Linked DNA regions of Ovis aries. The protein of the gene in region 1 purifies or fractionates together with the protein of each later gene. This does not show direct contact. Links are inferred from orthologs where the notes say so. Each region holds a gene or a part of one and is shown on either strand. Other genes may lie near its edges.

Evidence for each region.
Region 2: the proteins of OGDH (region 1) and DLST fractionate together in Homo sapiens (co-fractionation; 3 studies listed by BioGRID). This does not show direct contact. The link is inferred for Ovis aries from reciprocal best matches to the Homo sapiens genes OGDH and DLST.

What each region holds. Positions count from the first base shown.
Region 1 is NC_056057.1:78,452,332-78,456,147, forward strand, and holds part of OGDH (2-oxoglutarate dehydrogenase complex component E1), read right to left. Parts: intron 2,718-3,816; coding exon 2,563-2,717; intron 2,424-2,562; coding exon 2,277-2,423; intron 1,767-2,276; coding exon 1,676-1,766; intron 1,300-1,675; coding exon 1,120-1,299; intron 1-1,119. UniProt on the Homo sapiens protein: 2-oxoglutarate dehydrogenase (E1o) component of the 2-oxoglutarate dehydrogenase complex (OGDHC). Participates in the first step, rate limiting for the overall conversion of 2-oxoglutarate to succinyl-CoA and CO(2) catalyzed by the whole OGDHC.
Region 2 is NC_056060.1:84,221,195-84,225,010, forward strand, and holds part of DLST (dihydrolipoyllysine-residue succinyltransferase component of 2-oxoglutarate dehydrogenase complex, mitochondrial), read left to right. Parts: intron 1-522; coding exon 523-571; intron 572-3,067; coding exon 3,068-3,123; intron 3,124-3,256; coding exon 3,257-3,331; intron 3,332-3,571; coding exon 3,572-3,627; intron 3,628-3,816. UniProt on the Homo sapiens protein: Dihydrolipoamide succinyltransferase (E2) component of the 2-oxoglutarate dehydrogenase complex. The 2-oxoglutarate dehydrogenase complex catalyzes the overall conversion of 2-oxoglutarate to succinyl-CoA and CO(2).

The DNA.
Region 1 (3,816 bases):
GAGTCTTGAATTAAAGAACCTAGTAAACTAACAATCGGCTCCACCTCTCAAATATCTGAGGCTCACCAGGGCATCGTTCGGCCAGGCTGCCTCCCACCTACTTCATTCTTGTGCGGCCTATAGCACCTCCCCCACCCGCCGCCATCTTTGTCCATCTTTCATCTCCAGGGAACATTCTTTTCTTCCCATCTACCTAAGTCCTGCTGTTTCTTTAATTAAATATGACAACTATCTGCTCTATCAATGAGAAGATTTGACTGCCTTTCATTCCACTTCCTTCCATACCCATGTATCCCTCTTCTGAAGTTCTTTACCAGTTAACCTGCAGCTTTATGTCGCAATGTGTATGTTCTATTAGCTTTCTCACACGTGACCCTGTTTCTAGGAAAAAGAGATGCTTGAGAGCATGGTGGTGATGCTGACTTCGAACACGCCCCAGAATGCTCACACAGACACTACAAAAAGTTGATTTTCCTGATTGCTTGGCTTTGAGGTTGTCATTAGAAAGAACTACATAATTTGTAAAAGACAGAATTACACTTTGAGATCAAACAAGGACAGTTACAATCCACTGAGGATTTCTATATACCAGCAGGCTGGCTAATCAACATTAAGCATTCACCATCACATATCTGGAAAATGCTGGTACTAGGGCCATCCAGACCTCGAGCTGTTCTCCACCTCTGTACTAGGACAATTCAGACCTGGAGCTGTTCTCCATCTCTAAATGGTGCCACCCTAATATTCACTGGGCCATCTCTTCTCCTGTCTGTCAGCTTCACAATTCCTCCTTTAGGCTCACCCACACCTCTTCCTTAAGACCCTGTCCTCTTGCTCAATGATAAAACCTCTTTGACCATCATGATTATCTTGCAAGACTAGCTTTTCCACAGCTGTGGTAATGAAAGCAAACTACTCCCCACCTAGCCCTGGTGGTCACAACTTGGGAGGAAGCGTATCTGTAACTGGGACTGGTTTACTATTGCTACTCTTTGGAATTCCACTCAGAACATTTTGTTCAATTCTGGAAATGTGAGGTCTGGGGCGTGCCTGTGGCTAAGAGCCTGTCCTGGACTGTCTGGACTCAGGACTGCCCCCGGCCAGCCCACATGGTCTCACCTTCTTCCCCTCAGTGTCCCCACAGTAAAACTGCTCAGCTTTGGTCTTGCCCATCACCACGGGATCAGCAGCCTCCAGGTGGGAAGGGTTCGCCACCAGCGACAAGGTGATATTCCTGTCGGTCACACGGTTGATCCGCCGGTGATACATGCCCAGGTGGTACTTCACATCTCCAGAACCCTGCCGGCACAAACGGTGAGGCTTTTACCTAGGCAGGGAGACGCTTACTCTCTGTGACAGCCCTGTCCTGTGTTATTTCTACACCCAGAACTCTCATTTCTAGAAGGACGGAAAGGCTTTTTCCAGAATGGTTCCACCCAGGGTATAAGGAGGAGGTCCCTCAACTAGAGGGCCATATCCCCACCCACGGTGGGGAGAACTGTGGGGGCTGCCAGGCCTCTCATCTCTCTTTTCTCTGGGAGGTCAGCCACTTCCTTTTTTTGTGAGTGGTATAGAGGATCCCAGACCCCATAAGTCCTTCTAGAGAAATAAATGAAGCCAGGGTCTGGCGTGGGTTGGAGCTATGCTAGTTTCTAAAAGAAATCAGGTGTCTTACCTCATCAGCTGCCTCCAGCTTTGAGTCGAACTGACAGAAAATCTGCTCCAGCTCCTTCCTGATGACGTTCGCAAGCACATTCAGTCTCCCCCTGGACACATGGGAGTGGGCAGGGTCTGAGCTGGGCCCTGGGCAGCAGACAATGCTGTTTTATCCCCTTTCTCCCCTGAGGGACAGGTAGTGCCTCAGTCTGCAGCCCAAGAGGAGCTGAGACCAGAACTGATGGGGGACACTCGGCCTCTGCTTGCCTGGCATCCAAGGCCATGACGAGGTAGAAGGAAGAAAAGCAGAAATCAGAGAATGCTGCCAGCCTGCAGTGAATGCTCCATCCTTAGCCTCCTCTGCCTCTTCAAGCTGAGGTCTCTGCTTCGTGTACCAAGCCACCTTCCCTCTAGGTTAACCTCCCTCACCTGTGATCCCACCCAGTCACGAGGCCAAGATGTCTGTCTACAACCACATGTGGCCTCGAGTGTGACAGTGACCACCCAGTGAGGGGTTGCTGTGACGACGGTCACTGGGGGTAGGGATTAGGGTTACTGTATACCAGGCTTGCCCAGTGCCCTGCCTCTGCGCTCCGGACGCTCACAGGGTGGCCAGGTACCTGTGTGGCATTCCCATGATCACGTAGTCCACTCCGTTCTCACTGGACTTGTCAATGATGGTCTTGAGGGCAGGAATTAGTACCTCGCAGCCTTCCAGACCAAAGCGCTTCTCAGATGACCACTTCCGCTGCAGGAACTCCTCAAACCTGGACAGAAACTAAGCCACCCTGAAGAGGCGTGTCAGCAGGGACAACCTTGCTCTCCCAGAGCTGTGGCCACGCCCCAAACCCACCCAACCCCATCAACAGACTGTACCACACAGAGGGGGCCAGTGCAGCCCTGTACCTGGTGGAGCGCACGAGTCGGGCCAGCAAGGTCCGCTTCTCCTCGTTGGTGAACTGCATGACCCCAGGCGTCTCAAATTTCTTCCGGATCCACTGGCACTGCTCCAGGTCATTGATGAACATGAATTCTACCCCAATGTGCTGGCAGTAGGCCATCTGTATTTAATGCACACACACACAAACACACAGTCAAGGGGATGTTCACCCAGGTATGTTGACTGCCCACTTAGCCAGAAGGCTGGGAGGAACAGGTGGCCTCCACTTCAGATGCAACAGAGCTAGCTGTGACCTGGGGCACCAGGCCTGGCCCCGCGACCTCCTTTCACTCTGAACTTGGCCATGAAATGCTTCCTCCACGTAGCATGGAGCCTAGTGGGCAGGGAGGGAGAGTGAGAACCCCTGGGTCAAGGTATTCTTTCATGGTGGGAGGAGAGAATCACCAGCCTGGGGACAAGGAAGCTGCTGGGCAAGGCAGCTTCTCTGACCTCAAGGTCAGACTGTGCCCAGCACTGTGAGAAAAAAAGGCCCTGTGCCACTGGTGGATATCATAGCTCAAAGGCCACTTAACTGTAGCGGGCTTCCAAATTCTACATTCTTCTTTGAACAATTGACTCTGCTTGGGGATATCAGGTTCTACAGAAGCATGACTGCACATATACAAAAAGAAGGGTCCTGAACAGAGCAGGCACTTCGTGACACCACTCACGTGTCACAGCTGGGAAGGAGGCCGTGTGTCCTGTTGAAAGCCTAGGGTGACCTGGGCAGTATGCATGCCAGGAAATGAGAGTGAGAGAAAACAGCAAAGGCCCGGGAGAACCGAGTGTCAGAGAGGCAGCCCTCTGGCAGTCCGTCATGGCGACTGTGCTGAGCAGCCTCTGGCAGGGTACGGGGCTGAACTGGGGGCCCTCTCTCGTCTTTCCTGACACTGACCAGATAGAGGCGCCTGCTGGGGAGCCATCTTGAGGGGCCCACACAGCCTTCCTCAGCCAAGTGATCAGCACTTCTCTCCCCTCATCACCTGCTGGCTGTCCTGGGGTCAGAATGAGGGGCCAACAGCAAACCCTAGTCAGTGCTGGAATTAAAGAAGATATGCCCTGGTGTGCCACTAAATCTTAATTAATTAATATTTTGGCCATGCCACACAGCTTGTGGTATCTCAGTTCTCCAACCAGGGATCAAACCCTGGCCACGGTAGTGGCAGTGCTGAAGCCTAACCACTAAGCCGCCAGGAAACTCCCAACAGTGAGTTTTAGGC
Region 2 (3,816 bases), on another chromosome or scaffold:
TTTGCTTGAGCAAGCTGAAGACCTTGGGCCAGAAGTAGCCTGGTCTTTGCTGTTGGGATTCAGGCAACAAAACTTCCAGTGCATTTTAAGTAACCAGGGAAGCAAACTCGGACCAAACTTTCCACTGCTTCTTTAGGCTGTGTGTAGTCACAGGATAAGCTATCATGTGTCTCAGGCTTCCATTGTATTTGAAAACTTGGGAAGTAGAGGCATTCTATCATGAAAACATACAGGGATAATGAAAGTTTATGAATTTCGAGATAAATAAGATTATAGAATTCTCCCCTTTCTTCCTCAAACCCATTCCCTGCAGTCGCACATACCTGTTGTTCTCTGCCATTACGGTTACTATGGTGGAAAAGTTTAAGAGGCAGGACTCTGTGTGATACAGATTATATTATTGCCTGCTGTTGATCCTGCTCTATCTCAGAGTTAGGGGGTGAACAACTGCTTCTCCATTCCCAGCAGGTATCCTGTATGAGATAAAGAGTTGTTGGTTAAGAGTTGTTTTGTTTCTTGCAGGGATCTCCTTATGTCAGGGACCAGGTTACCCTGACAGCAGGAAGACTGTGTAAGTATCACTGGGGAGCACAGATATGTGGACCCGGGGTATTGAAGACACCAGTTTGACCATCTGCTTTCTTTCCTGTCTTTCAAGCCTAGTAATCAAGCTGGTTATATTGAGTCCCTTGACCTGAACTTGATGTTAATTTATGATATGAGCCTGAGCTTCAGCCCCATGTGAAGTATTGGACCAGGAGTGTGTCAGGACCAGGTGTTCAGATTATAATGAAAGTGGAGCTGGAATCCTCTTTTTATGGGAATTGTTAGAAGGATGCTCCTAAATATTCTGGTTGGCTACAAGTGAAGCTGAAGGACTGGAGGTTACGTTTATTGTGGAGGTTAAGAGCATCCTTTTGGTTGCATAGTTACGCATTTTAGAAACAGTAAAAGCAAGAGACTAGTATTTAACTCCTGGGACTTTGACTAGTGTAGAGGGAAGGAATGCTACTATTGCATAATGCAAAATTTGGAGAGAGGCCACCCATGTGTGTTTCAGATTAACTTCTGCCTATGAGTGTTGCTTAACACTACTTTGCATTCCAAGTATTTTCAGGGTGGTAGTAAGAGGACGCTCTTTAGTTTCCTGTTGAGCAGCTGTCAAGCTATTTTTCTCTATAGGTGGAATCTTTAAAATGAAGGGTCGGCAGATTGCTCCTTCTTCACTGTGCATTAGAATGGCAGTTTGGCATTCATAAGTCTTTGAACTGTGTGTACCTTTTGATCTAGCAATCCCATTTCTAGGGCTCTGTACTGAACGCCTAGTGTACCCGTGTTTCTCAGAATGGTCAAACAACAATGGATGGGTTAGGCTATGCTATGCTATATGTTCATTCTACAAGTGGGAAAAAGCAAGTTATAAAATTATTCCTTTTGTATTGTATGGTATAGTCCCATTGTGAATGTTCTTTTTGCTCTTTCTAAGTTTACTACTGTTAACATCTAATACTTTTGTAAATTTAAAATTATTTAGGGAGTGTCAAAGTGTGTTTCTCATCTATAGTTTAAATGAAAATTAGAGCGACTACAAATCCTGTGCAATAAATAAAACAAATAACTATTTAAAAGTTAATTATTTTAAAAACCCCTAAACTTTGAATGATGAGGATCACAGATTAGGGTATTACTCTAATCTAGTAACTGTTTCTGTATTGTATCTTGTCTTTTTTCTGTGCATAAGGTACCCATTTTACTAAAAATCTTTTATTGTAAAACTGTGTTTGGTTTTTTGTTTTTATTTAATAGGTTACACATTTACATGGTTGAAAAGTAAAAAGAGTGTCCATGAGAAGACTTTATCCTGTTCTCCCATGCTACTGCGTTCCTATTCCCAGAGACAGCCGATGTGCCAGATTCTGGGTGTCCTCAGAGAGCAGTCTCTGCATTGACACGTTACCCATTAGTTATTGCCCATGAACATGTACCTATACATGGTTGGAAACTTTTATGCAGAACACTTTGTATTCTGTATTTTTTTAAATAACACATTTTCCCTTGATTTTACATAGAACTTAAAAATACCAAAGGCAACTTAAATCTGTTTCACTTTTTATTGTAAAGGTGCTCATTGTAGACTATTCAGACAGTCTTGAAGTATAGAAAGTGAAAGTTCCCATCAGTCCAAATCACTCTTCCAAAATGTATGTATATGACAGATAACCACAGATACCATATACCAGATACCATGATTCTCCATGGTCATATCATTCTCCAGGTTACGTTATTTCAGGTTAGTGTCATATCAGAGAATACCTTGCTCTTTTTGAGGTTCCTCTTGAGTGAGTCCAAAGTGGACTGATGTGCTGCCTTCTGGCAGGAGAACAGGTGATTATGAGGTTTTCAGTGGGGCTTTTTGTTTGTTTTTTTGTTTATTTTGCATATAACACCTTGTTTTACTTTCATCTTGCTGTCTTATCTAAATCTTTAATCACATAGACAGAAATTCTGTTTTACATGGCAAAGTGGCAAGTACCCTGAGGGCACACAGTTTTATCTTACTTGGATTCAGTTAAGAAAAAACCTAATCAGGAAGCTGAGTCCTTTTGTGATTGTGCAAAGGACCAAGATGCTGTCTTTTTCTTCAGAGATGCAAACGTAAGTCTGTTCTGGAAGAGCTGGCATTTCACTGCAGCACATTTCACTCACCCAAGGGCCTCGCTGCTTGAGGCACCCAAGTAATCCAGGCTTTACTCTAGACCTGCTGAGTCAGGATCTCTGGGAATGGGGCCTAGACAGGTATGCTTTGAAAAAGTTCCCCAGGTAACAGTGATGGGCGCTCCTAGTCAAGAGTCACTGGTTTAAAGGGAAGGTGAAAGAATCTAAAAAAGAGTGGATATTTGTATAACTGACTCACTTTGCTGTACAGCAAAAACTAACACAACATTGTATATCAACTATACTCCAGTAAAAATTTATTAAAAATAAAGGTGATTCATCATGGCTTATCTAGACTAAAATGTGAATGATTCACCTGTTAAAGGAGTTTACTTTTATGTTTGTTTTGTAGCATTAACAGCAGTAATATCTTCAGCGTTCGCTTCTTTAGAACTACAGCTGTATGCAGTAAGTACCTTCAGCTCCCTGCGTTCTTGGGGATGGAATTTTAATGAGAAGAATAGCAATTGACTGAATTTAATGGCAGAAAAAAAAGGAAAAATATGGACTGTGTGATTTCCCCCCTCCCCTTTTTTCCTAGAGGATGATGTGATTACAGTCAAAACCCCAGCGTTTGCAGAATCTGTCACAGAGGGGGATGTCAGGTGGGAGAAAGGTAAGATTTACTGCCTTCTCACTTTTTAAGTTTAAATACTTTTGAAAAGTCCCCTTTACTCCCCTCACCTTCATGATAATCAGTGGAACCTGTGGCTCCACTCTTTTCTTTACATGCAGTGTACCTTCCCCTGGCCTGTAGGAAAGGGGTCCTGTAACACCTGCCAAAGGGGATTTTATGGCTACTTTTCTTGTTACCCACTGCTCACCCCTAACAGGTAGCCTTTGACTGTCTTTTCAGCTGTTGGAGACACAGTTGCAGAAGATGAAGTGGTTTGTGAGATTGAAACTGACAAGGTAGGCTTGCCCTGTTAGTGCCATCTTTTCATGGTTTCCGCTTGGTGTCTTAACCTAATGAAAGGAACATGGACTTAGTTGTTTGAAGATAATTGTTAGTTGCCTCAGTAAAATTGTTGGAATAGCTCAGTAAAAAGAAGAAAAGCATTTAAAGTTTAATTTTAGATTGTTCTAGGTGTATGTACTATG